Xenopus tropicalis: one gene and its partners. The protein of the gene in region 2 purifies or fractionates together with the protein of the main gene of each other region. This does not show direct contact. Links are inferred from orthologs where the notes say so. Each region holds a gene or a part of one and is shown on either strand. Other genes may lie near its edges. The genes, in order: ddx5, ezh2, smarca1, arid1a, smarca5, usp44 and pabpc4.

The links.
Region 1: the proteins of ezh2 (region 2) and ddx5 purify together in Homo sapiens (affinity purification with mass spectrometry; 4 studies listed by BioGRID, with this or other methods). This does not show direct contact. The link is inferred for Xenopus tropicalis from reciprocal best matches to the Homo sapiens genes EZH2 and DDX5.
Region 3: the proteins of ezh2 (region 2) and smarca1 purify together in Homo sapiens (affinity purification with mass spectrometry, with the first as the bait; 3 studies listed by BioGRID). This does not show direct contact. The link is inferred for Xenopus tropicalis from reciprocal best matches to the Homo sapiens genes EZH2 and SMARCA1.
Region 4: the proteins of ezh2 (region 2) and arid1a purify together in Homo sapiens (affinity purification with mass spectrometry; 3 studies listed by BioGRID, with this or other methods). This does not show direct contact. The link is inferred for Xenopus tropicalis from reciprocal best matches to the Homo sapiens genes EZH2 and ARID1A.
Region 5: the proteins of ezh2 (region 2) and smarca5 purify together in Homo sapiens (affinity purification with mass spectrometry, with the first as the bait; 3 studies listed by BioGRID). This does not show direct contact. The link is inferred for Xenopus tropicalis from reciprocal best matches to the Homo sapiens genes EZH2 and SMARCA5.
Region 6: the proteins of ezh2 (region 2) and usp44 purify together in Homo sapiens (affinity purification with western blotting; 3 studies listed by BioGRID, with this or other methods). This does not show direct contact. The link is inferred for Xenopus tropicalis from reciprocal best matches to the Homo sapiens genes EZH2 and USP44.
Region 7: the proteins of ezh2 (region 2) and pabpc4 purify together in Homo sapiens (affinity purification with mass spectrometry, with the first as the bait; 3 studies listed by BioGRID). This does not show direct contact. The link is inferred for Xenopus tropicalis from reciprocal best matches to the Homo sapiens genes EZH2 and PABPC4.

What each region holds. Positions count from the first base shown.
Region 1 is NC_030686.2:51,533,104-51,537,499, forward strand, and holds the start of ddx5 (probable ATP-dependent RNA helicase DDX5), read left to right. Parts: upstream 1-1,459; 5' UTR 1,460-1,477; coding exon 1,478-1,518; intron 1,519-4,101; coding exon 4,102-4,264; intron 4,265-4,396. UniProt on the Homo sapiens protein: Involved in the alternative regulation of pre-mRNA splicing; its RNA helicase activity is necessary for increasing tau exon 10 inclusion and occurs in a RBM4-dependent manner. Binds to the tau pre-mRNA in the stem-loop region downstream of exon 10.
Region 2 is NC_030682.2:55,155,767-55,159,654, reverse strand, and holds part of ezh2 (histone-lysine N-methyltransferase EZH2), read right to left. Parts: intron 2,780-3,888; coding exon 2,616-2,779; intron 1,859-2,615; coding exon 1,767-1,858; intron 1-1,766. UniProt on the Homo sapiens protein: Polycomb group (PcG) protein. Catalytic subunit of the PRC2/EED-EZH2 complex, which methylates 'Lys-9' (H3K9me) and 'Lys-27' (H3K27me) of histone H3, leading to transcriptional repression of the affected target gene.
Region 3 is NC_030684.2:50,382,806-50,386,285, forward strand, and holds the end of smarca1 (probable global transcription activator SNF2L1), read right to left. Parts: intron 1,845-3,480; coding exon 1,737-1,844; intron 1,211-1,736; coding exon 1,139-1,210; 3' UTR 813-1,138; downstream 1-812.
Region 4 is NC_030678.2:77,712,310-77,716,197, reverse strand, and holds part of arid1a (AT-rich interactive domain-containing protein 1A), read right to left. Parts: intron 3,352-3,888; coding exon 2,947-3,351; intron 2,827-2,946; coding exon 2,713-2,826; intron 2,294-2,712; coding exon 2,053-2,293; intron 1,873-2,052; coding exon 1,783-1,872; intron 1,704-1,782; coding exon 1,536-1,703; intron 1-1,535. UniProt on the Homo sapiens protein: Involved in transcriptional activation and repression of select genes by chromatin remodeling (alteration of DNA-nucleosome topology).
Region 5 is NC_030677.2:59,238,814-59,243,403, reverse strand, and holds the start of smarca5 (SWI/SNF-related matrix-associated actin-dependent regulator of chromatin subfamily A member 5), read left to right. Parts: upstream 1-1,700; 5' UTR 1,701-1,849; coding exon 1,850-1,999; intron 2,000-4,590. UniProt on the Homo sapiens protein: ATPase that possesses intrinsic ATP-dependent nucleosome-remodeling activity.
Region 6 is NC_030679.2:56,839,013-56,842,900, forward strand, and holds part of usp44 (ubiquitin carboxyl-terminal hydrolase 44), read right to left. Parts: intron 523-3,888; 5' UTR 453-522; coding exon 1-452.
Region 7 is NC_030678.2:91,019,968-91,024,325, forward strand, and holds the start of pabpc4 (polyadenylate-binding protein 4), read left to right. Parts: upstream 1-1,306; 5' UTR 1,307-1,798; coding exon 1,799-1,991; intron 1,992-2,414; exon of another isoform or gene 2,415-2,541; intron 2,542-4,358.

The DNA of each region.
Region 1 (4,396 bases), on a different chromosome or scaffold from region 2:
GGACACAGTGGGGAGGAAGTGGCAGGGACACAGTGGGGAGGAATTGCAGGGACACAGTGGGGAGGAAGTGGCAGGGACACAGTGGGGGAGAATTGGCAGGGACACAGTGGGGGAGGAAGTGGCAGGGACACAGTGGGGAGGAAGTGCAGGGACACAGTGGGGAGGAAGTGGCAGGGACACAGTGGGGAGGAATTGGCAGGGACAGAGTGGGGAAGGAATTGGCAGGGACACAGTGGGGGGAATTTGCAGGGACACAGTGGGGAGGAATTGGCAGGGACAGAGTGGGAAGAATTGGCAGGGACACAGTGGGGAGGGGAATTGGCAGGGACACAGTGGGGAGGAATTGGCAGGGGCACAGTGGGAGAAGTGGCAGGGACACAGTGGGGAGAGATTGGCAGGGGCACAGTGGGGGAGGAAGTGGCAGGGGACACAGTGGGGAGGAAGTGCAGGGACACAGTGGGGAGGAATTGGCAGGGACACAGTGGGGAGGAATTGGCAGGGCACAGTGGGGAGGAATTGGCAGGACACAGTGGGGAGGAAGTGGCAGGGACACAGTGGGGAGGAATTGGCAGGGCACAGTGGGGAGAAGTGGAGGGCAGGCAGTGGGGAGGAAGTGGCAGGGACACAGTGGGGAGGAAGTGGCAGGGACACAGTGGGGAGGAAGTGGCAGGGGCACAGTGGGGAGGAAGTGGCAGGGGCACAGTGGGGAGGAAGTGGCAGGGACACAGTGGGGAGGAATTGGCAGGGACACAGTGGGGAGGAAGTGGCAGGGACACAGTGGGGAGGAAGTGGCAGGGACACAGTGGGGAGGAAGTGGCAGGGACACAGTGGGGAGGAAGTGGCAGGGACACAGTGGGGAGGAATTGGCAGGGCTCCTCAGCAGTAGGAACAAAACCTTGAGCGGGAAGGCTCAAGCACTTACTAATGGGGACTGTATGTAGCCCGTATATGTATGAGGCAATATAGTTGTACCCATTGGGTGTGCCTGGCGGGGCTAATAAGGGAACACAGCCTTACTGGCCTTGCCTCATCCCACGCAACACACACTGACTAACATGAGCCACAGATAATAAAATTCCGGGAAAAGGCGCATTGCCGGTCACATGGTCACATCGCTTAGTCTCTGCCGCCATCTTTACTTTGGGCCGGTGTCCCGCTACCAGTACGTGGTCGATATCCCGCTACAAAAGCGGGAGCAGCCGCTGCCCCACGCTCACGGTTCAGTTTGCAATATCGTTGGGGCGGAAGCCAGGAAAAAGGTTAACACCGAGCGGCTGGTCGGTTTTTCTACTTGTTGGACAGGTTTCCCTGAAGCAATATGGCGGCGGTAGGTCAAGGCCCCGCCCCGCGGAGGAATATGGTGACGTCAGTTGCCGGCCGGCCTTATATAAGGTGTGTGCGCGCTGCGTGTTACTTCCCTTCCTGCCGAGCCCTCCCGTCTGTACAGCCGCTCCCGGAACGCCCTTTGTGTAACGCCATGCCCGGATTCAACGACAGGGACCGCGCCCGGGACAGGGGGTACGTACTCGGGGGTCTCCCCGTGAGGTGCCGGCAGCTTCTGGCAGAGGCCAGTGGGGAGTTTGTTTGGGCTTAATGTTTCCGCCCGATGGCGGCTGGTACGGTAGGTAGGCATTATGGGATGTGTGTGTGTGGGGGGCCCATGAGTAACGGGGCTTCCGAGCGATGGATTGTATTGTTCGGCTCCCGGGAGGCGGGGCTCGGCGAGACAAGATGGCGGAGGCACCAGTTGCGGCTCTTTGTCTCTGCACAAAATGGCGGCGGGGGGGGGAAGGGCTCTCCTTCTATTGCCTTGTCTGGCGCTTGTACTGCCCTCCGTACTTGTACTGCCCTCACTCCCTGCCGCCTCCCCGCCGCCTCACTCCCCTCTCCCCGGCCGCCTCACTCCCCTCTCCCCGGCCGCCTCACTCCCCTCTCCCCGGGGCCGCCTCACTCCCCTCTCCCCGGGGCCGCCTCACTCCCCTCTCCCCCGGGCCGCCTCACTCCCCTCTCCCCCGGGGCCGCCTCACTCCCCTCTCCCCCGGGGCCGCCTCACTCCCCTCTCCCCGGGGCCGCCTCACTCCCCTCTCCCTGCCGCTTTATTCTTTTATCTTCCTTTGTCGCTATTTATCCTGGCAGCTGTTTATCTACCCGGGTGTATTCCCCTGGTACTTCCCCCATAGCAACTGCCCTATTGTGTGGCATCTCTATCTGCCTGGGTATATTCCCATAGCAACTATCCTATTGTGTTGCACCTTCTTGTGCTATCTGCCTGGGTATATTCCTTTGGTACTGCTCCCATAGTACCTGCCCTATTGTGTGGCCTCTGTCTGCCTGGGTATATTCCCATAGCACCTGCCCTATTGTGTGGCCTCTGTCTGCCTGGGTATATTCCCATAGCAACTGCCCTATTGTGTGGCATCTGTCTGCCTGGGTATATTCCCATAGTACCTGCCCTATTGTGTGGCCTCTGTCTGCCTGGGTATATTCCCATAGCAACTGCCCTATTGTGTGGCATCTGTCTGCCTGGGTATATTCCCATAGTACCTGCCCTATTGTGTGGCATCTGTCTGCCTGGGTATATTCCCATAGTACCTGTCCTATTGTGTGGCATCTGTCTGCCTGGGTATATTCCCATAGTACCTGCCCTATTGTGTGGCATCTGTCTGCCTGGGTATATTCCCATAGTACCTGCCCTATTGTGTGGCATCTGTCTGCCTGGGTATATTCCCATAGTACCTGCCCTATTGTGTGGCATCTGTCTGCCTGGGTATATTCCCATAGTACCTGTCCTATTGTGTGGCATCTGTCTGCCTGGGTATATTCCCATAGTACCTGTCCTATTGTGTGGCATCTGTCTGCCTGGGTATATTCCCATAGTACCTGCCCTATTGTGTGGCATCTGTCTGCCTGGGTATATTCCCATAGTACCTGTCCTATTGTGTGGCATCTGTCTGCCTGGGTATATTCCCATAGTACCTGCCCTATTGTGTGGCATCTGTCTGCCTGGGTATATTCCCATAGTACCTGCCCTATTGTGTGGCACGCTGCTGGCATATCTGTGTAGTGTCCCCTGGGTATGATCAGTCTGCCTGTAACCAGGAACAAGGTGTACTTGCAGAATATCCCTGCTGGGTTTATAGACTCTCCTACAGTTGCCCCATGCTGGGGCAGAGCTCTCACCTAGCAGTACCTGCAGTCTGGGTGCAACTGCTCCTTGCACTGCTGATTAGGCAACCACTTGGCACCTCCCTCTGTCGGTTTATGTAACACTGGCACGGCATGCCCTCAGGGAACCTACTTGGCATATACCCAGCACAGTTCAGTGGCCATTTTGCATAGGCCTCTCTCCCCTGGGGTTCTGCGCAGTAATGGGAAGGAAGGTGATGCTTCTAACTTAAAAACAAATTATCATTTTCCTGATGGCTTTTCTGGGTCTGATTATGGGCCTAGTGAGGTGCCAGGATGGAATCCTGTAAAGGACCAGGACTGGCATTGGCTGCACTAAAAATAAATGCTTTTTTCTGGCAGTGCCCATTTGTTGTGCCTGCTCATGGAATAGCTGAGGGCCGCACCTCTGTTAAATATACTGCCTGCCAGATATGTGTTGCATCTGATCAGTGTGTGCTGTCTCTGCTCTAAAGCTGGCCACACGTGGTCGCACGAAAGATCGTTCCAACCCTCCACTGACGTTCAGGGCTGAATCGTCCGATAGAGGTAGAAACAATAGGATTTCTGCAGATTCAGCCGTGAAAATAGATTTTGCTCAGGTGTCTTTAATGGAGCCTCCTGCGATCTTGCCATACACGCACCGAATATAAACAAGGTTGGTGTGTGTATGGCCAACTTTACTCTGGGGCTGTCTGAGAGTTGGCTTTGGAGCCCAGGCTTCTCTTTGCCAATGGTGGGATCTCCCCCTAAAGCAGAGTAGTTTGTAGCTTCCTGTGTATTCTTAGTGACTGCATATGAATGGCCCCTTGCATATCGGAGAGCATTGTCCTGCTCTGCATGGCCATTGTCAGTAGGGCAGTACCAAGCCAGGAGTCTGCTTTGTCGCCCAGTTGGTTCTTATTGTTTGCATTGACCCTTTTGTCTTATATTCAGATTTGGAGGTGGTCCTCGCTTTGGGGGAAACCGAGGTGGTACATCTGGCAAATATGGAAACCCTGGGGAGCGGCTTATGAAGAAGAAATGGAACCTGGATGAACTGCCCAAATTTGAGAAGAATTTCTATCAAGAACATCCAGATGTTGTGAGACGGACACCGGTGAGTTTGCTGCCTGATTGGGATGAACCAGCTTGGCACTGGGTACCTCTCACAGCTATCTGCACATTAGGAAGGCTTCTTATTGTATGTTTCAGCTAACATGGGCTGTGCCCTAGGTGTATGGCACCATCT
Region 2 (3,888 bases):
TGATCAGCGCTCTCCTTGTTCGGCCTGTGAGTTTAGGTGGACGGCCTTGTCTTGGTAGGTTTACAGTTGTGCCATACTCCTTCCATTTCTGAATGATCGCTTGAACAGTGCTCCGTGGGATGTTCAAGGCTTTGGAAATCTTTTTGTAGCCTAAGCCTGCTTTAAATTTCTCAATAACTTTATCCCTGACCTGTCTGGTGTGTTCTTTGGACTTCATGGTGTTGTTGCTCCCAATATTCTCTTAGACAACCTCTGAGGCCGTTACAGAGCAGCTGTATTTGTACTGACATTAGATTACACACAGGTGCACTCTATTTAGTCATTAGCACTCATCAGGCAATGTCTATGGGCAACTGACTGCACTCAGACCAAAGGGGGCTGAATAACTACACACACCCCACTTTGCAGTTATTTATTTGTAAAAAATGTTTGGAATCATGTATGATTTTCGTTCCACTTCTCACATGTACACCACTTTGTATTGGTCTTTCACGTGGAATTCCAATAAAATTGATTCATGTTTGTGGCTGTAATGTGACAAAATGTGGAAAAGTTCAAGGGGGCCGAATACTTTTGCAAGCCACTGTACATGCAATACAAGACAAAGCAAGTTTATTTTTTCACAAGAGAATACATTTTTTTTTTTCTTTAACTGTAATTGCTTTAGGGCAGGCTATAAAAACTCAGTATAAATCTATTTAACTGTATTTCTTTCTAAATGATTTAACCTTTGAGTGTGCTTGAACTCAACAGTGAGCTCTGTCTATGTAACTGCCTGCCTGAGGTGGAGTTTTTTGTTGCTTTTTTTGTCTTCGCAAATTATTGCGTTGTGATAAGAAAATTAATTGTTCACAAAATAAGGTTTTGGAATCTTTTAACATGAATTTACCCACAACAGTTTGCACTAGTAACAGACAAAATTAAGCTACATTGCCCTCTGAGAATAATATTTTTAGCCAAAGCCTAGAATGAAACTCTACAAAAAACACATACATCTGTTTATATTACTCCAGAGAAAAGAAGCTTTCCATACAGCTGTATTGTTCATTCTAGTGAGTGTATCACTGGGAAAAAAGATTTTCTCAAAACACTTTGTGTCTACAAATTTCCCAGGAGATAACGTAGTGCCAAATAAATGTCTTTCAGATAGCCAGGAAACCACTACAGTTTTGAGGCAAAGTACCACTTAACATAGCGTCATGACTATTTAGGTTTGAGGTAACTATTTTAAACCATTCACAGCATAATTGTGCCACGGGCCAAAAAAAGAAATATCTAAATAAAGAAAAGAAGGCATGAATGCAAAAAACAACTGCATTGGCAGACAGAGAAAAGAGTGACAAATCCCCTAAAACTGTTTATCAAGTTCTTTTCCCCGTCACAACAAAGCAAAATTCTTCAGCTAAGCAATATCAAGACATTAAGGATGCAGATAAGAACATTTTTTAAAAACATATTATTCGATATAGCTTTTCAGTTACCTACATCTTCACTATAGTAAAGTAGAAAGTATTTGGGAAAAATGAAATTGGCAGGCACAACCTGTACTCAGTCTGGCTTGGAAGCCTTACTATTAGACTATGTGACCAGGTCAGAGACACTGCTAGTGGCTTGTTTTATATGTTTGGTAAAGGATCTTCAGCAATGCACAGTAGCCCTGGGGCCAAACTTTGAGAAGTAATAGACAACATATTACATATATTAAAATGCAGTGATTTAGATAAGCACATCAGTAATGCATATAAAATGAATTCCAAGCAACATACCAAAAGCTGGTAGCAGTGTGGTCCACAAGGTTTTCCATCATTTGCTGCTTCATTGTTCTTCCGTTTGTAAGTATTAGGAGTAGCATGAAATGCTGTTAAACAGAGACAATATTTTTTTAGACTCTGAAGGGCTTACATATACAGGGCCCTGATCAACATGCAGTTTCCTTAACTACATCAGTTTGTGCTTACAATATTTATTCCCCCATGATCTCCACCAACAAAAAAAGGCAAGAACTTGGTACAAAAAAATGGAAAAATTGACATATTGATAACTATGGAAAAGCCATAAGGTAATGGAGCTCCAAAAGTTTGTCGGACATAAAAATTACATAACTAGATAAAAAAAACTAGTAGATGTTTAGGCTAACCTAAATACAATTTTTGGTATGTTTCTAAATTATTTGAAAATCTTAATTTTTTTTTTAGTCATATTTGAAGTCTACAGTTTTAGCACTACATAGCTCCAAACTTAGGGGCCCATTTATCAAAGTCTGAATTTTGGACATTCATATGTTCATATCTGAACGATCGTAAATGGCGCAAAAAACATTCTGACTTTGATCCTTCTGTCTATGTGCCTCCCATAGGACTCAATGGCACTCTGCAGCTCCACCCTGGCCCAAGGAAAGTCATGATACCGAAGCTTGAATGAATTCCAAAACTTTTGTACTTGTTGCGACAAATACGATTTTGTCACACAAATTGTCGCAAAGTACAAAAAAGTTGTGGAAATTAATGAAAAAACACAGAAAATATGCACAGTATTCGGACCCAAGCGTACTTTGATAAATCAGCCCCTTAAACTGCATATTTTGCATTGTAAACTTTAATATAGAAACTACTTACGGTGCAGAAAACAATCATACTTAAAACATCGCCTACAAAACAGGGTATGGAATGAATGAAGACTCTGCTCTCGTTGCACAGATTTTGCATTTGGCCCATCTATATTTGGGGTGCACTCTGGTGGAAGTGCCCCTGGAAGCTGTTGTTCTGTTAATTCCTTGTATCTAAAAAATAAAAAGGCTTATTCATTTCTGAAGTACTAGTCTGTAAGAAAATGACAATAAAGCATATGACATAAACTAAACAAAAAAAAATAAACGCAGCAACCCAAGACTTTGCACCTCCCCATTAGTATGCTGAATTACAGAGAATGCATAAATAATTAAAAAAAGCATACTTTGCAGGCTACAAACACAGACTGCATTTTTGTTGGTGTTGCTGCTCCATAACAGTTATCTTGTCAGGGTGAAGGCTCTGGGGCATAAAGTATACACTTTCAAGTAAAATCATCCTATTTATAAAAGGAGTGTTTGGAGAGAATTGCCGAGTCCACAGTTGGTAGCAACACAACATTTTTACTTTTCATGCTGAGTTACCTCTGACATTTATATTCATGATAATTATAGCTCAAGTGCAAAAAGTGATTACAATAAATACTAGAATGAAATGAGTGATTCATGTCAAGGTTTCCAGTTTGAATAAAACATGTCAATATATCAGCCTCACTTTTTTTTTTTCTAATGCAGTATAAGCTATCATTTGACAGACACTAGAAAAGTTTATGGTGCTTAATGTTTGATGAAGGCACATTGGTGCTTAACGTTTGATGAAGGCCAAAATGTTAGGCACACCCCGGTGACTTTAAGCTTACCTTTTACCTCGGGCTGGTGCTCCTGTGAGAAGAAAACAGCACCAGCCAGGGGTAGCATCTCCTCTTCCTTCTTCGGTCTTCGCACGCTTGTGCGGTTGAATGAAAAGCTGAACTTTAACACTTTACTGCGCATGTACCAGCCCCGGGATTCAAAAGACGAAAAGGAAACACTCGCTACAGCTACCCCAGGCTTGTGCGGTTTTCACCTAACAGGAGCACCAGGCTGAGGTAAAAAGGTAAGCGATTAAAGTCACTGGAGGTGCTCAACATTTGGCACCCCCCGCGATTTTTCGCTTTCCTTCTCATTTAAAAGGAAAAAGAAAGGCTAAATCAGTAGGGGGTGCCAAATGTTAGAGCACCCCCCAGTGCTTGTAATTGCTTACCGAAAACCCAGCATCGCTCACCTGCATTTACCCCAGGCCAGTGCAGTTTTCTTCTCTTTCTATCTTCTCCTTTAGCAGC
Region 3 (3,480 bases), on a different chromosome or scaffold from region 2:
AACTTTCTAGAAGGTCAGATTTATATGCTATTTCCTTTTACAGGGACCATAAAGTGAGCTAGGCTGTTTCTGAGCTCATGTCAAATACAGGGTCTGATTTATTAAAGATCGGTTAATTCTAGAGGCCTATTCATCAAAATTCATGTTAGTGTCATTTTCATATTTGCAAATAAACTTGCTTACTTATTTAAAAATCTATAGAGTATAGAACTTTGAATTCGTATTTTTCTCATCATTAAAATCATGAAAAGGCTACATAGTTTTTAAGTGATGTATATTGCAAAGTTGTTAAATGATGTTTACTTTTCAAAAAGCTCAAGTTGTGTTTGGGCGGAGTTACCCTTTAAAACACAAACATTAAGCCCCTTAGTCTGTCCCATAGAAATCCACTGAATACAAAAAGTACCTTTTTATATTAAAAATAATTCTATAAATGAAGTGGCTGCATGTCCAGCCACAACTTTTAGTAGTTGCAATCCTTACATGTCAGATATTATTTACAATAATGATAATAAGTTAAAAGAGGAGTTTGTTATATCTAAAAGTATTTCTGATTTCTGGCTAATAGTAAAGAAAGAGATTGAGCTGTTTACATCTGTAAAAGAGCTTTTAGCAATTGTTTAGACAGTGCATGACTCCTAACAATAATAATCAACGTGAAAGTTCTAGAATGTTTAACAGCTCCAGCTAATGTTCTATTTCCACTTCCAGTAACAAAGGCAGAGAGTATTTACAGCACTAACAGTTTATTGAGCCTGGGAATAATAATTAAAATGTAAGTGCTCTTCTCTGTAGAAAGAAACCAACGGTGACACAGGAGAGATTTACTTTTTATTTCAAAGCAGCAGCAGCAGCATACAGTATAAAACATACAAAAGCTAAAACTCTCTGCACTGGTTAAACATGTCACAAAATACAATGCATGTAACTATGGGAAAAGCTGAAAATACTACACATTTTCTAGATACATAAAAGCATAAAATATACAAATTCTGCCAAAACTTGAATGCATTCTGGCTATTCTGTTAACGCACAGAGAGAGCAGCAGAGTCCTTACATGTGCATCATTAACTCATTGCAGGACATTAAATGGCTGTTAGTACCCAACAAATAATAACATACATGGTATTATTTAGCACTAGGATTTTGCTTTCTTGGCATCCTTTTTCCCAGAACTGTCAGGTACGACGTCTGCTTTTCTTTTAGAGGGCTGAAGAATAAAACAAACAAAAAAAAAAAAAGGTAAAAAGAAACTGTAATAATATCTTACAATAAATTTGAAATGCATAAGGAAATCTTTGAAGAACAATAAACATAATTAGAACTAAGCAGAACCAAATCCAAGGACAGAAACACAAATATAAATATGGCTGCAGATATGTAGAAATGTTAATTTACCATTTAGATTCCCCCTCCATGCATCTACTTATATTAAAGTACCTGTTTTTGTTGACATGTCTGTCACGATATGTGAAATCATCACATATTTTGCCTTATCTGTCTTTAAAATATTACTAATATAATATTACTACCACTGCTATAGTTGGTCTCATTGATATGAAAGATACAATAAGTAATAGTGTTTTCAGGGAAAGATAGCAATCCCTAACTAACTGCACGAGGGTTATCAGTGAAACTTTAACATTTAAAATTAACCGGTATGTGCATAAAAGGCAACTTAAAAAAAATAAACAATGCATTTTTCACAACTTAATAACCCTATAGTTAGTTTTTACCTGTGGCTTTGGCTGTCGTTTCTTTTTCTCTGCTCTTTCTTTCTCTTCGATCTCTAGGTTTTCTTTTTCTATCAGCGATATAAGAGTATTGCAGCGTCTTTGCAGCTCCTAATGGCAAGAATAAAACATAAAACAATGTCACGTAGCATGAAACACTTCCAACTCTAATAATTATTTACTGTATGATTTGTCTGCCACATTCCATCCATTAGGTGTCCATTAATATACGAAACAATTTAATATTATTGCCATTACATGCCATTAAACTTGAAGCAATTTGGAATTAATGGCAACACCATGACAACACAGTTTGCAAATTTCATTTTTTCATCCTAACAGAAACATATATATTGTAAACTCCTTTGGGCTTAGGGTATTTAGCTGTGACCTAACAGTAAACCAATGGTAGGCATGTTTTCTTCAAGGCAGCCTTTCATCATAATCACGTACAATCTTCCCCTTACCTTATATTTTAAATGAAGAAGACACTCAGGGGCATTTTGATACATCTGTCCCTAAGATCCCAGGGTGGATTTAAAAGGCTTCAGCCTTATTAACTAGTTTGCTAATAACATGAACAGTAAAATGACTTTAAAAATTGCAACACATAATATTCAGAAACTGGAATACTTGTTAATAGTACCCAATAAAAACCCTACTGGTATGGGCAAGCAGAAGCAAAGTAGGTCTCAATCAAACCCTTACCTCCCGGGACCATGACAGGTGCAGCCTTGAGTCTGCAGCCCTTACCCCCCCCCCCCCCCTTTTTCCCCCACGCCCTTAACCCATTCACCCAAACAACACACTTGGACACTGTAGCTGGGAAAAGAAGACTGCAGTTATTTATTTATTAACAATAAAACTTTACATCAGTTAACATTTGTAACTTTATTAATTTGTACAAAACCGTTTGTATAACAAACATTTACAGTAACCAACATTTACAGTAACGACAATCCTTACTCGCCTCACAGGGACTGGCCCTGCGCCCAAATGAAACGCCTGGTTACTGCCACCTTTTCCCCCAACCTAAACCGAGGCTAACTGCCTTCCGATCAGGACTGCAGGCCAACTGGGCTACACTCTCATTGACAAGTACCCCCCTTAAACTTCCCCCTGGGGGCACGGAGTAAGGTACCCTCTGCCACAGGCTTGGCTGCTTGACTCCTCAAGGACGCCATGACCCGCCAACTAGCTTTACTAGGGACCTCTCATTACCCTCACCCAGTGCCAGGTTAAACAAGTCAGTCCCTACTTCCGACAAATGGACCCCATCCTTCCAATAATAACCGGGTAATTTTCCCTCCAGAACCTTCTCTCCATCCTCTGCCCATCCCTGGCATGCCTCCACACTAACCGCTGCACCATCTCTGACCAGATGGTCACTATGTCCGGAAACATACGCCTTATCCTATCCAACTCCCTCTGAGGAACTAACCCCATATCGTTCCCTCCAGCATGTATTACCAAAATGTCCGGGCGCTTCCCGGGCTTTGCCTTTTGAAGCAGGGGGGACCAGACCCCTGGCCACCGCATGCCCTGAACACCAAACCAATGCACTCCCACCTTGCCTTTGGGAAAGCCCAGCTGCAATCCAGGTTTTTTAACTGTTGCTCTACTTCTGGCCCGACAGATGAATGAATGACCAATCAGCCACACCGTGATCCAGCCACCTGTTCAAGGAAAACCAAACGTAAACACAAATAACACCATCACATATGGTACACGGTATTCCCCTTGTACC
Region 4 (3,888 bases), on a different chromosome or scaffold from region 2:
TACTACTTCGCTGTAATGTGAATGTGGTTCATTAAGAATATAACTAGCTGAAAAGGAAAATTGTGACTGAGAAGGGTACAAAACATTAGAAACATAGTTCATATAGCAAAGAGCAAGTGCTCTATATAAAAGGTGCCTATAAAATGGTACCATGGCATATAATCAATTTTAAGCATATACTTACAGAACAATGTGACAAATATATGCACTCCACTGGCTACCTGAACATCCAGTGCACAGCTCAAGTAATAACAGTAACACCCAGATATTAAAGAACATGTAAAGCTTACATTTGCCTACAATGTATATCAGTTGGGCACGTCTCCCCCACCCAAATGGCATCATTTGTACTGCATATATCTCCCCTCTTTTTTCTAGCACCATCACATTTTCCTAAAGCAAATAGCAGCTGTCACCCGGTGGCTATTTTTCCCCTGATACATAATCATATACATTTAAATCTGCAAACAGCATACACACACAGACCCTTATTCAGCATACATTTCATCAAGAATACAGGCTCACACAGGCACAACTGTCTGATTAAAGTTCATTTTTTTTCTCCTGAGCTCCGCTTTACCATTACAGTGCTCAAGCAAAGCAGAAGCAGACAGCTAGAGCTGAGTTTCTATGGGAACCAGCAATGCCATCTCTTCACTGGCTGCTAGACTGGAGGGCGTGTTTTGTAATCTGAGCTTAGAACAACTGAGCATGCCCGCCAGCCAACAGCCAAAGCAAATACCTGAGGGAGGGGGCCGAGTGGGTTACAGGAGGAGAAGGAAATCTAAGTGATTAAGGGGATGTTGCAGCCTTACTATTAACCCCAGTACAACCAGGGTGGCAGATATTGAAAGATTTCAAAGAGGCTGTTCACTGATTACATTTTTGTGTGTGGGGTTTTACATGTCCTTTAAAGGGACAATATACACTTCTTTGTATCATGAGCTCAAATGAATAGGGCTTGTGCTGAAGGTACTTTTTGCCAATTGTTTTAATTAAGAAATATCTACGGTCTGCTAACCCTTAAAGTATGTTTTTTCTTTAAAGATAGACAGAATGTACCCTCAACAAAAGTCCCATTTATTGTGTTACTTTTAAGCAAAGGTTTTTAGGTGTATACCATCCCTTTAAAATGCATATTATTTACATTTGACTAGTTGGTACATCTTAGAAGTCTACTGAGGATGGCAATGTATTTTAGAGCTACAGAGTATCCTGAAAATACGGACCCCCAAAGGTTAGCGGATACTAGAAGTGTAAAGATGCATTATTTAGAAAGGAGTCATTCCTATTCTGCATCTCTCCAGCATGGAAACATTCCTTTCATTTCCTCTACTGTTCTTTATTTTGACTTCCAAACTGTTGCTTAGTTCTTTTGGTAACTAAGCCCTAGTGAGCAGTTAAAATTAAAGGCTTGAGAGAAAGAGGAAAAAGGGGGGGAATCTATGTTAAGAAAAAAAAAAAAAACGAGAAGAATATTAAGAAAACCACAGACACTAGTGGGGACTAAGCAGCTACTAAGGCAAAACACTAACCTTGAGGTCCATACTGTCCTCCCTGAGGACCATAGCTTCCCATGGAATTTTGTTGATAGGGTCCCATCCCAGAATGCATTTGTGCCGCTGTTGACTGGCGGGGAGAAAGTGCAGGACCAGGCTGAGGGGATCCGTATTGAGGTATCTGTGCATTCCTCTGCATGTATCCTGTTGCAGAAGAAAAAATGGTTATAAATGCAGTGTTGCACAGCTCAGTCTTTTCTGTCCATTATAGACCTTCACAAACCTCGCTCTTGTCCAAGGCTAGCCTGGTTCATCGTAGGGTGGATCAGGCCATCAGACTGCCCACTAGGGGGCCGTGGGGGCATCTGAGTTCCTGAAGAGGTAAAATTAACAGTAAAGTTTTATGTACAATTCCATAAAAAGCATAATGACACTTATCAATTTATAACCAGATAATTCACATACTTATAATCATTTATTAATCCTCACTTTAACTGTGCTTCTTCACCCCCCCCCCCGCCCCACCCCCAGTTTAGGACATCCCTGCACTCACCAGGGACAGCAGTTGGAGAGAGGGGTCCAGAGCGAGATGGTGCCACACTTGCTGGGGAACCTACAGGAGAAGGGGATGGACCCCTAATGCCAGGGAGGTGTGGGGAAGTATGCGGTGAGAAAGGAGACTGGGCAGGATTGCTCTGCTCGCCTTGGCTGCTGGAGATCCCAGATGTGCTGACTCCTGGACTCAGAGCTCCTTCTGCACCCATTGGGAGATCATCAATGGAACCAGAAAGATCCTAGAACAAAAAAAAGTGTTAAAATTACAAATAATGCAACACAAATGAATTAAATTAACAATAAAAATAAAGTTCAATCTAAAAATGTATAATTTTTCTTTGAGTTCTATTCTATTAATAAAGCAGATTACAAACTAGAAATACTGTATTAAGACCTTCAGTTGAGCTCAATTTAATTACAGACTGAAGGATAACTGGTAAAGAGATGAGAAAATATGCACCTACAAATGAAATGTATTTTGCTTTAGACAGTGCTGAGAGTTTTGAAGTTGATTTTAAATTAGTTCTGTAACTCTGAAATTTGAATATAAGGTCTCATATGCAATTTAAAACATTAGAATTATATTGATAACGTGTAGATAATCAATTTTCACTAAAATTGCCAACAAGAATGAAATTTACACAAGAACTTTACTTACAGGTAGACTAGAAGGCCGTGGTTGCATTCCCATACTCAAGTCATCCTGGCCTTTGCTTGAGCCCAGAGAAGGTGTGGATGATGCTTGTGATGTGAAGGAATCCTGAGAGAGCTCCTGAGAGAAACATTAAATGTGCTTAAAGTACAAGAAATGTCTGGAGGACAAATACAAGGTGTGGAAGGCAGTACTCATTTACAAGAACAGATAATATTGTTCTACAGCTCTTAGTCTTACCTGTGGTGGAGGAAACCGCTGTTGAGAGTATGTTCCCGATTGTTGTGCTCCTGTCGAGGGATAAGATGAAACCTGCTGCTGTGTAGAGGTGTACTGGCCAGTTTGTTGGGTATATGGTGACTGGCTCTGTGAGCTGGTGGGGGCACCCTGCTGCTGAGTGTACGGTGAAGGGGATGGGGACTGCTGTTGAGTAAATGTGGGCTGTCCCGATTGAGTAGGGGTTGGCTGGGAGGATGGAGCTTGTTGCTGCGAATAAGACTGAGGACCTGATTGCTGCTGGGAATATTGGGTTTGTGGGGGTGTTGTCTGTGGTTGCTGGGGAGGGTGGAGGCTCTGCTGGTTGTAGTAAGGAGACTGGCTCTGTTGAGAGTAGGACCCAGGACCCTGCTGAGTATATGGAGACATCTGTGGGAAAAATAGGAGCAGGCAAAGGTAGTTTAACAAGAATAGCATTTTTGTTTTTTACCGCTTGAAATCACAGAATAAATGGGGGCTATGTCATAAAGGGTTTGAAAAGTGGGTACAATCAAATATATCACATTTTATATTGCAGTACAACTCCTTTTATAAACAATTAAGGTCCCCATACACGCAGAGATCCGCTCGCTTGGCGATCTCTGCACCCGATATCCCCACCTACGGGTCTACGGGTGGGCACTATCGGGGAGCGTGTAGTTAAAAAAATAAATAATTCGATCGTTGGGCCCTGGGGCCGATGCGGTCCCCGATCCGACTGAATTTTCTAACCTGGCCGATCGAGATCTGGCCAATTTCAGGCCAGATATCGGTCAGCCAGGCCCCTCGTTTCTGCCCCTACACAGGCAGTTAAGCTGCCGAATCAGTCCAAGGGACCGACATCGGCAGCTACAATCTGCCCGTGCATGGGGACCTTAAGTGGTAACAGTATTTTTGGGAAGCCATGCCAAGACTTGTGCTTCAGGT
Region 5 (4,590 bases), on a different chromosome or scaffold from region 2:
TGAACACAAAATATAGTTTGATGAAAGCACTGGCAATTGGAAAATTCTTTTTTTTTGGTTTCATGGCTCACTTTAAAGGAGAAGGAAAGGCTAAGTCACTTGGGGGTGCCAACATGTTAGGCACCCCCAAGTGATTTTAATCGCTTACCTTGTACCCCGGGCTGGTGCCCGTTAGGAGAAAACAGCACCAGCTCGGGGTACCTGTAGCGAGCACTTCCTCCTTCCTGCTTCGTTTTGCCGGCAAATTCCCGGGACCGGCGCATGCGCATTTGAGTGAAAAGCCAACTTCTCTGTTAAAGTTCGGCTTTTCACTCTACTGCGCATGTGTACGCGAGCGAAGCCGGAAGGAGGAATCGCTGCTACCCCGGGCTGGTGCTGTTCTCTCCGTACAGGGGCACCAGCCCGGGGTAGAAGGTAAGAGATTAAAGTCACTGGGGGTGCCTAACATTTTGGCTCCTCCAAGTGACTTTGCCTTTCCCTCTCCTTTAAAGTTTGACCACAAGGGTGTTTGAGTATTTTGATTATATTACACTAGATCAGTGATCCCCACCAGTGGCTCGGGGGCAACATGTTGGATGTTGCTCTCAGTGACCCCAAACCAGGGAGTTATTGTTGAATTCCTGACTTGGGGGCAAGTTTTGGTTTAATAAAAACAAGATTTCCTACCAAATAAAGCCCCCTGTAAGCTGATAGGGTGCATAGAGGCCCCTAATAGCCAATCACGGCCCTTATTTGGCACCTCCATGAACTTTTATGGTGCTTGTGTTGCTCCCCAAGTCTTTTTACATGACTGTGGCTCCCGCGTAGGAAAGGTTGGGGATCCCTGGACTAAATGTTCATTTTTCTTATTCCCTTGTAGCTTTCAGCGCCAATCTGTGTTGTTTATTTGAGGATCCAGCTTTGAAAAGCTGTGAATCAGATCGGCAAACTAACCTTTTTAAAAAGTGAACTTATCCTTTGACTATTCCCAAACTTCATATAGCATACACAGGGCGGCACTGGAAAGCCTGATTAAGGGGCAGAATCAGCCCTGTATAGAGCCCCAATGTTTCTCATAACAGCCCCCTGGGCAATACCTTAGTTTCTTAGTATAGCCTATTCTATCTCATACTAATGGTATTCCTAAAATAACTTGAAATGACCCCTTATTTTGAAAGACTAGAAGTTCACGTTTACTAGGGTGTGAAAATGAAAAATATTTCATTTGTAGATGTTTGGTTTAAGGTACATTGTAGAAAACAATCCCCATTCTCAACCTACATGACAAACTCCTAAGAGGGCAGAGTACAAACCCGCTAAATGCGACATACACTGTACCCAACCATTGACAACAAACTATTCTCGCGAGATTTTAGGCAGAAACATCCCCGTAAACCCGGCAATTTAGAAGCCCGCCCCTTTTTTCCCGCCTCCCATTCAATCTGTAGACACGCCCATTATTCCACTCTTGCGCGGGTACAATAGTTTTTTTTATGCGCGCCGCCGCTGCCTCTGCCATATGGGCCACTCGCATCACCCTAGCGTAGGCTTGCGGGGCCAAATCTCGCGGGATCTGGTCTCGGCTCCCTAGTAAAGCTTAGATCTCGCGAGATCTCAAACGGATTGGTGCGTTTTTTTCCCCTCTCCCTGGTGACGCGCGCTGTCGATCAAAGAGGGAAAAAGCCGGCACATTGCGAGTGCGCTCTCCTACGCGCCCCCTACGCTCTCTTCCTAGTGGCTCCCGCCAGCAGCGTGTGGGATTACACACGCATCCATTCAAGGATCGCGCTTTACTCCGGGTTTCTCATTAAACCCCCTGCCTCGTTGTGTGAGCCCCGCGTTGGACGGACGGTGTTAGTAGATCCTGATCATGTCCGCGGAAGGCACCGAGCAGCAGCCGGCTCCGGACACCGTAGCGAAAGAGGAAAAAGGAGAAGCAAAGGAGGCTATGGAAGTAGATACGGGCGATCAGGCGAAACAAGAGCCGGGCGGAGACGCAGTTAAAGAGGAAGCGATGGAGGTAAGAGGAGCCGGCCCAGGCAGCACGCACTTTATGGCTCCTACCAAGGAACTCAAACTTCTTCTTTATCTTGAACGTCATTATTTTAACCATCTCCTGGCCGCTGAGAGTTGTAGTTTTTCAGCAGCTAGATATGTCTTATCTGCTCATTCACTTGCGTATGTGAGAACCTGTAGAGTTAAAGCGGACCTCTCTGTCCCATTGAAATGTCCAGCCGTGAGTGCGCATGTGCGCGGTAGCCGGGCTTCTGCCTCACGGTACCTCTCATTTCCTATATATATATATATATATATATATTATAAGTATTGGCTAGGTGTGGTGCTTCGCACTCTCTTAGCATTGGGCTTCTCATTGTTCCAAAAGTCATTCTAAAGCCCCAGCGGCTCCTCCCAGTACGGGGCGTGGCTACTGTTAGTGCTGGTCGCTCTCCAGGCCTCCAACTCTTTGTTAGCTGACATGCTATACTACATTTCCATCATCCTGCTGCCAGCCTTTCTATCGGCTCACGGAACATGTACAAGGAGTAGTGCCGATATCTGTGGCCTCTTACGTAATTTTTCTAATGGAGATTCTTATGTGTTCCTAGTTCACTTACTGCTGATCATTTATCAGCAATCTGCATCTGGACAGTAACCCATAGCAACCAATCAGAGATGAGCTTTTTTTCATCCTTCTTCAGTTAGAACAATAATAGCAAACTTTGATCGATTGTCATGGGTTAATGCAAGGGTGCAAGTTTTAACCAACTTTATCAAATAAACTCTACTCACTTTTCTCATTTAAGTTATTAACTGTATGCAAGATCTTTTCTGCCCTTGATCTAAATTAGTTATCTTTGTGTTCCTGTTTTTCAGCCTTTTGGCTTTATTTTTATTCGCCTGACTTATTATAAATAGTTGATGGAATACTGTATTTCTAAGCAATCAGTTCTCCCTGTTCAATGAACAGCTGTTTGTAGTCAGTCCCTGTTTATTGGGCCTGTGGGGACTGTTTGGCTTTCTTTGCACCTGATAAACCAGGGTTTATTTCATTTCCCAGTCCAGTCATTTAATAGTTCTTGCCAGTGTTCTCCCCAGAAAAAAAATAAATGTGATATAGCTGAGGTTAAGGGGGCTTAACCCATTTATTATCCAAATGGGTAAAAGTCCAGCCCATCTGTTCCACTTCCTCCGTTCCCAGGCCATGCAGCACTTTGCACTGTAGGATTGAAGCCAATCAGCAATTAGGCTGACCTGATAGGGAACTGAAGCCTATCTGTGCAGAGGTGTGTGTGCTATCCTACTGTGCTTCTGGCAGGGAAAGTTAGAACATGCCCACACTGCATTTGAAACACAGGCAGGGACCCGAGAGAATCTATAGGAAGCTCTGATAAAGGGTTCATTTTTACAGATAGTGGTATTAAAGACCAAAGTGAAACCAGCACCATATAGTATTCATAATTGCCTACAAGATTAGAGATTTTTTCATTTATCCTATGTCTCCTTTAACGTCTATTAGCCCCTTTATTAGGGGGCAAATCTAAATACATAAGTACCAGAATATATACATAATAGACATTTAAGGACTTATGAATAGACGTTTAAAATTTATGCACTATAACCAGTCCGTAATCCCATGATTTTCAACAGTGGAAAGTCACAAATTCAGTTACATTACCAGTTTTTACATATCTCTTAAATTTAGACTAAAGGCCCCCTTACACGGGCCGATAGAAGCTGCCGATATCGGTCCCTTGGACCGGCTCGGCAGCTTATCTGCCCGTGTAGGGGCAGAAACGAGCGGGCTGGCCGACCGATATCTGGCCTGAAATTGGCCAGATATCGATCGGCCAGGTTAAAAGATTCAGTCGGATCGGAGGCCGCATCAGCTCGTTGATGCGGTCCCCGAACCGACTGCCCCATTGCTGCCTACATAATCCGGTCGTTTGGCCCCAGGGCCAAACAATCGGATTATTTTTTTTTTTAACTTCAAGCTAGCTCAAGTGTATCGCTAGTAGGGAAGAAATTGCCAGCCAGGTAAAAATAGGCCTTGGTGGGGATAAAAATTAAATGTTCCTGCCCCTAAAAGAAAAACTTTAACAGAAGCTAAGAGGACTGTGTGCTTCTTCAAATGCATCGCACTGTCCTTCCAACTTCTGTAACAGAAATTTCATCTACATAAGAGGTGGGGAAAACTTTGGCTGTTTGCCTTGTGTAAGGAAATAAAAAGGGCAGATTTGTTATTTGTTCCCTGAAATCGCGGAAGTTTCCTCTCAAGACAACTTCCGCTATTTCAGGGAAATCGCGGCGCCACGTATGCCATCCCACCGGTAATTTGCATTTTCGCCAGTGGGATGGCATTTCGGGGAGATTAGTTGCCCGTGAACAGGGAGATTTGTTGCGGGCGACTAATCTCCCCGTGTGCCAGAGCCCTTAAGATGACCACACACGTGGCGATTTTTGATCTTTCTGTTGCACGAAAGATCGTTCCAACCCACCCTGACATTCAGGGCTGAATCATCAGATATGGAAAAGTAGAAACAATAGGATTTCTACCTCCTTCTGTCAATTCAGCCGTGAAGGCAGATTTTACTCAGGCGCCTTCAATGGCGC
Region 6 (3,888 bases), on a different chromosome or scaffold from region 2:
CTCCGATGCCACAATGCAGTGAATGCACGGTCTTCATTTTGAAGAAAGGCTTGTGCACCTTCATGTGAAATGAATGAATCATCTGCAGTTACCATAGACCGCAAAGTCCGACCACTACGTGTTGTACAGTCATAGTTCTGACTTTTGATAGCACTTAACGTGCTTCGTAAAAGTTTAAGGTCACCAGTGGTGTTGTCATTGAGAACATAATCATCACAGAGGTAACAAAAAACGTAAAGTTCATTAACCTCCAAAGCCAAAGGATGCTTACTGTCCTGAAAGTGTCGCAGTGCATGCTCTTCAATGTATCGACCACACGCAACATGTGAACAGCTTAGGCAAGCCCACACGGATTCGGTAGTGTTGCAATCCACACAGTGCCACTTTTGAGGGTTCAAAATTGAATGATCTTGGGCGAGACGCAATCGGCCAACATGTTTACATTTATCCATTTTCAGTTTTCAGATTCAGGTGTCAGCTAAGCTGCAGTTGATCTGTTGCATTTTGCACATACATTCTGACCTGCAAAATACACCAAGAAGTCATGATTATTAAACCTGTATGTAACTTCTTGAGTAAAACTCTCTAACCTTAGTTATGTATATCTCTAGAAATATTTGTAGACACCTATAACAATACTTATAATAAAACAGATGAGTCCTTAGTGTTACCATGTTAAGTAAAGCATTAGTGAGTAAAAGACAGAGAATCCTGGTGTGGGATTTTAATAACACTAAGCTAAATAAAGAACTGTGAGGCCAGCGACAGCATGCATATTAGTTTAAATAAAGGATAGTAAATGCCAAGTGTGTTTACACATACCTCAAGAAAAACTAGCATTTTTATAGTGTTTTTAACAGGAACAAAACTGTGTGTGGTATTATGGAAACTACCCTGTCAACAAAATAATTCCAGATAATGTTCTGCAAACCGCACTGGCACACTAGTTCATAGAAAGACAACCCCTGTATGCTGATCTTTGCCTCCTCAGAAGAGTTCCACTGGCACCAGTTTAAATATATGTCAAGTCTTTAAAATTTATTAGTGGTATATTAATAAAGAAATTTTCAATTAAGTCACATCAGGTATCACATATCACACAAACTAAATTTTACCCAAACCTAACAAATACAGAGAGAACACTTTCTATAAAGACATAGACTAGTTAAACATTAAAGGGCAAATTATTGGACAATACAGATTATATGTACAGGCTGTATGGTTGCTTGTAGGACAGCTAAGATCATAAACTACTTTTGTACAACAGTTTCCAGCATCCTGCTGGAAGGCTGCAGTTTACCTTTATCTTTTTTGTAGAGGATGCCAAGAACTCCTAATTATATATTTTGATTCCAAAGCAGTTACCTTGGAATTTCATGACCTGCTTCTTTATGAGGTGAAGGGGAATGAGATCACTCAGTCCACAAACAAACTATTATTACAAATAAAAACTGAGGTGCTTATAGTAGTGGATACATTATCCAAGCCACAGTAGAGTGATGACACAAGCGTAGGAGCAGATTCTTGGCATACTTTTATCTGCAGGCCAAGACCCTGCCTGATAAGGCATAAGTCTTACGGGAATTTGACAGCAACTTATCATGCAGCAACTAAATTGATGTCACTTAAATACTATAAGGGCTCTGGCACACAGGAAGAATAGTCGCCCGCGACAAATTCTTGTCACGGGCGACTAATCTCCCCGAACTACCATCCCACCAGCGAAAATGTAAGTCGCCGGTGGGATCACCGGCGACTTACATTTTCGCCGGTGGGATGGGAATTCGGGGAGATTAGTTGCCGCAAACAGGGAGGTTTGTCGCGGGTGACTAATCTCCCCGTGTGCCAGAGCCCTAACTGTGTTTTATCTTCAAATAAGATTCAGTTTTGGGTCATGCAAGCTAAACGGAATGTAAATGAGTACTGGTACAATGTGAGACTAGACAAGCCCTATGCATGAACCAAATTCTCCTATGTGGGCTTATCTAAAATAGCAAACTTACTCATTTCAGCAGTAAGCTAAACTGGTGCTGGGAAGTGTACAGGTCACAAAGGTTCCTAGAGGCACAAATTCTTGTGCTGATTTTTAATCTCAACTGCTTTTACTCAGCAGAACAAGAATTTATTACAGTTAACCTATAATCTGCTCTTGATAAAAATAAGGAAATCAGCAGGAGTAGCTGAAACGTCACAAATAAAAGATGACTGATCACCGTTGTGTGCATTAAATTGCATTATATATGCATATGCTTTACCTTTGCTAAGTACTGTATAAAGGGCCACCATGATGCAACTTGCCCATTCATTAGGTAAGAATGCAATCCAACTCAAACTAAACACTTTAGTCTAAAGGATGTATAAAACACATTTAATTGGATAGAATACATGGTACCAGTGGCTGTTCTAAAGGTGAAAACTGACAGAATTGGTGTATAGTTAACATTCTAAAAAGTAGACAAAAACTGTCATCACTGCCTCGAGTACAAACCAAATAAAAGCTTAAGAACAGCACACAGTATTGTTATATCAGTGTAAATTGCTGTAAATCTGTGCAATTACTATCAGTGCTTCTGTGTTCGCCCCACTTTGTAAATTACTAGGGTAGGTGAAACACCGCTATTAAAGGGTCGTGATAACCTAGCATTTCCTGCTGAACTGTACGTAGCACAGAAAAACTGGCCTTGTTATTTACACAAACCTAAGAAGCAATCCCTTCTCTGAAAAATTAGATGTACAGTCTGGTTTGGCTGTCCATGCTCCTAAAAGGCATGATACCAGAAGCGCAAGGGAGATTTGTCACGGGCGACTAGTCTTCCCGTGTGCCAGAGCCCTTACTCTCACTTTTTTCAAATGGATTAAACCAGGGATCCCCAACCTTCTTTACTCGTAAACCACACTCGGGTGTAAAAAGTGTTGGTGAGCCACACAAGCATGAAAAAAGTTTTTTAGGGTGCCAAAAAAGGGCTGTGATTGGCTATTTGGTAGCCCCATGGACTGCTGTCCTGCAGGAAGCTCTGTTTGGAGTAAAACTGCTTCCAAAACTTGCCTCCAAGCCAGAAATGTAAAAATGGGCACCTGCTCTTAGGCAACATGTTGCTCATGAGTCACTGGTTGGGGATCACTGAATCAAACAGGAGGGTACGAGATAAACAAATCTTGTGGTCAGAAAGCCTGAGAGGCGGCGCGATTTCGGGAAATCGCCGAAAAAGACATTTGCGCTAAATCGCGCCGCCGCGTCTGCCATCCCGCCGGCGACTTACATGTTCGCCGGTGGGATGGCAGGGGGAAGGCAACTCGGGGAGATTAGTCGCCCGCGAGCAGGGAGTTTTGCCGCGGGCGACTAATCTCCCCGTGTACCAGAGCCCTAAAGGTCCCCATACACGAGCAGATCCGCCCGCTAAACTAAGACCTATGGCACAACAGGGACAAGGTGGACTCCACTGAACTGAATGACAGGCCAAGCAGCTATTATTATTTATTATTAACATTTATTTATAAAGCGCCAACATATTCCGCAGCGCTGTACAATAAGTGGGTTTCATACATTGGACATACAGAGTAACATATAAAGCAATCAATAATCGATACAAGAGGTGAAGAAGGCCCTGCCCAAAAGAGCTTACAATCTACAAGGAGAAAGGGTTGACACACAAGGTGTGACCTGGAACTTCTGTGCCATATGCAAAATGTCTGCGGTAAACATGCCCAGTGTGTTTGTATGCATTATAAGCAAATTAGTATTACTATGCTAAGGGAAATCAAGTAATGCCTAGTAAAAAGCCTTTGCATTGGGTAATTGCTAAAAATTATTTGAGAGAGGCAGCCACTGCTGGGTGGCATGAATGCGATCTACGTAGTCAGAGTGATTTAGTAAAAATAAAAAACAAA
Region 7 (4,358 bases), on a different chromosome or scaffold from region 2:
TTGTGCCCTGCAGCTAAAGGGTCAGTGTGACATATTCTTGTAAGTACTGCCTATGCTGTGAAATGCTACTGCCTGCCTATTCTGTAATTACTCCTAAGTGGCTGTGTAAATAAACAGTTCATGGTTTCAATGTTAAGAACCACTGGCGCCCATTTATTGAGAAATACAACACATATCCACCTGGCCTCCATACAAAGCGAGGGCTCACCCCTATGGGATACAGTCTCATCCTGGGTAAAATACGGTGTAGCTTGTGGTAATTAAAGGGCTAATTTACTATAAGCTTACACATGAAACACAAATTCTATTTTTTAATAACACATCCATACCCATTATAAAAGCATTTTAAAATCCCAGCTGTCAATCATACCCCCCCCCCCCCCTCATCATCATCTAATTATGTAGCCAGTGCATGGGCCTGGGCATCTGTGGATTCTGGCAAATGCCAGAGGGGTTACTGTAAAACAGCGACAGACAGTCACTGTTGGGCTGAAGGGGGCTGTTTGGGCTCTGTGTACTTGGAATGCTAGGGGCCTGTTTTGAATCCCATGTCAGGCCTGGCCACTGTCAATAGTTCCAAAGTGCCAAAAGCCACAATAGCTCTTTATTGATACTTGGGGGAGGATGCCAAACATTTTGTTTTAGGATGCCAACTGAAGGCCTTTCATTGGAAAGCTAATAATTATATAAGTTGTTGTAAATTGAAACTGCCTGCAATTGTTATCCTAAAACAAATATATCTGCATTGCTTATACTAGCAATCTTAGTTATTAGGGCAGTGGCATACAGAGCATTTTAACCACCAGAGGCCATGTCAGCTAAAATCAGTATTTTGATTAATGTACATGAGTTGCTAAGAATTACATTTTCTTTCTCTGTGGAAAAAGCTATTTCAGGAAACTTTTTATAGACGTAAATATTTTTGGCTGAAGGACCAATACAGCTGTGCTTTCGTATATATTTTAAATGTTTATAGCCACTTGACCTCTAGTTATCCAATGAACCGGCTTATTGTACAGTCACTCGGATCACATTTCCCTAAAGAGTAGCTGAAAAGAGCGGCAGAGCCAGATTTTCTTTAAAAAAAAATTGCGTCCTATGTCCTACACTTTGCATGCTCACAGACTGCCACACTTAAGATGGCTGCCGGGTTAGTAGACGTTCGGTGGCACGTTGTACGGCTGGAGGTCCATAGAGGGCGCTGTGCGCTCAAGCTCAGGGTTAGTGGTGGCGCGACCCGGATATAAAAGCTGCGCAGCAAGTGACAACCGGTCTCTTTTGTCCTCGCTGTGGTGCGGGGAGCTGGCTAGAGTTTGCTGCCTGATGGTGATCGAGTAACAGGGCAAACCGATCGTGCACTGAAACATAAATATTTGGGTTGCGCCTGTGAATTGTCTTTATAAACATACGCTCTTAACCCGCCCTGATTCATTCGTGTTGCATATTTAGGTACATTGATACCGCAGACGCACCGCTGTTCTTGCACTTTATTAGGCCAGTTATTTAGCGTCTCCTGTCTACTCCTGTTACCATAAGGCGGCATTCGCAACACCTGATAGGAATCTTGGCCAGCAACATACATTAGCCCCCCGCAGATACCACAGCAAGCTTTTAAACATCCACTACGATCGGTGCCAGCCCAGCTCCTGCGCCTCTACATCTCAGTTGCTGGAGTGTATAGGCAAGTCAAAGCAAGCACTTCCCTGACTTACCGAAGCCTTAATATTTATTACATCTCCTGTGGAGATCATATTCAATTTAGCCGTCCGGTAGTTGGTCGCTGCCCCCTGGCTGGGTGATGCACACAGCTGCTAGCAGTTACCCCATGGCGTCCCTTTATGTGGGGGATTTGCACCCCGATGTTACCGAGGCCATGCTCTATGAGAAGTTCAGCCCTGCGGGACCAGTCTTGTCCATCCGTGTGTGCAGGGACATGATTACCCGCCGCTCTCTGGGCTATGCCTATGTCAACTTCCAACAGCCTGCCGATGGTGAGTATGGAAATCTGCTTTTTGACAGGATGGATGTCTGCTTTCATGGTCACTTTGCAGTTGGTCTTTTTGTGTTGTTTTTTTGAATGCTTTCATGGTCACTTTGCAGTTGGTGTTTTTGTGTTGTTGTTTTTGAATGCTTTCATGGTCCCTTTGCAGTTGGACTTTTTGTGTTCTTTTTAAATATTTTATTCTGAATTTATATAAAAGGTGGTTACTCCAAAGTCTAGGTTTCTAGCAAGTGTATTTGGTCCCACTCAACCTTTTTTAACTTTGATACATTCGTTTGTCTTAATCAATCTGATACATTGCAAACATCTCACATAATGTTATTCATAGGCTATAATTAAGGATGTATTTACACTTACAAAACTCATCAGTTAGTAATGTGTTCTCAGATGCAATGTCCTATTTGTTCTTCAGGTCAGATGTGCCCCTTTTGGTTCATTGCATCCCAGTGATTTATCCTTCCATGTACAGCACCCTTTTTACAGCCACCTCTAAACTCCAAAACCAGAGAGCTGCAAAACACAACATTAAATGATATAATGTAAGCCCATGCCATATTATTATTTTTCATTATTATTATTATTATTATTGCAAATGGAATAATCTTGTAATATAACCCCGTCAAAAATTCTCTACCGTTTTTTAATTAGAAGCCTTTGTATTTTGTATCTTATGCTATTCCCCTGAATTGAGTTCTGATCACAGCTCCTGGAAACCTATTGTGCCAGTGGTTGTCCTGATGTGAAAAAAGTAGAGGACTGTTCTGTACTAGACTTGAAAAAATAAAACAGAAGCAGGGACTGTACTATACTAGACTTTAAAAAAGTACAGGAGCTTGTTTACTGGGTTGTCATTGGCCAGTTGCTGATAAGAGCAAGTCAGTCACAGATAAGGAAGTAAAACATGAGTAGAGCGTGAAACACACCCACTCCTCATTCAGCTGCAGACACTGAGGAGTACAGAGCTCCAGTTAGCTGTTTTAACTGCTTTGCCATCTGATTTTTTTTTTTTTTTTTATTAGAACAACATCTCTCATAGTGCTTTCCTATCATAGGGCTATATATAAACCCTAAGTCAAGGTTTTGACTTTATATCCCCATTATTGGAAAATTGTCTAGCTATATTTAGAAGTGTATATGAATCAAGAAATAACCAAAAAGGGTATTTAAGATATTCACTATTGTTTGTTTCAGAAAAAATGTATCTTTAAAGGTGTTAAACGGTATGGCAGGTTACAGCAGTGTTAGGATTAGCAATAAGGGCATTGCATATATAGGTATGGGATCCCTTATCCGGAAACCCATTATCCAGGAAATTTCCCAAAGGCCATTGCCTATAGACTCCATTATAAGCAAATAATTATAATTTTTATAAATTATTTCCTTTTTCTCTGTAATAAGAAAACAGTACCTTGTACTTGATCACAACTAAGATACAATTAGTTCTTATTGGAGGCAAAACAAGCCTATTGGGTTTATTCAATATTTAAATGATGTTTAGCAGATTTAAGTTATGGAGATCCAAATTACAGAAAGATCCCTTATCTGGAAAACCACAGGTCCCGAGCATTCTGGATAACCGGTCCCATACCTGTACCAATAATAGTATGTTGCATATGATAATGGAGGTAGTAATAGTCACATAAATTATCTATCATGTGCAGTTCAGTACCGCAAGGTCTATAATTTTGTTTTTATAAATGCAAAGTAACTTTATCCATTCCCATCTAATACTACAGTCTTTTTACATTTATATAAAAGTATTTTGATGACTATCCTTTACTATAAATGAATATGTATTAGGCTGATGCCCCACGGACAAGTTAAGGTGCCCATACACGTTAAGATCCGCTCGCTTGGCGAGGTCGCCAAGTGAGCGGATCTTGTCCCGATATCCCCACCTACGGGTGGGCAATATCGGGGAAAATGTAGGCTAATTCGATCAAATTATAACGGCAGCAATGGCGCAGTCAGTTCGGGGACCGCATCAACGAGCCGATGCGGTCCCCGATCTGACTGAGTCTTTTAACCTGCCCGATTGATATCTGCTCTAATTCAGTCCAGATATCGGTCAGGTATGGCCGTCGTTTCTGCCCCTACACGGGGTGATAAGATGCCGAATCGGTTCAAGGGACCGATATCGGCAGCTACAATCGGCCCCTGTATGGCCGCCTTTAGTCTCCTGCGATAGATCTCTGCTAGCGTGGGCAACTAACCACTCCAAAATGCCTTTCTACTGGCAACAAAAGGAGTCGCCGGTGGAAAGGCCTTCACATTGCTTTGGTTTTCGGAAGTTGTGCAAAGTTTCTTGCTACAGGCAAACCGAAACAATGTGAAGGCCTTTCCACTGGCAGCTCCT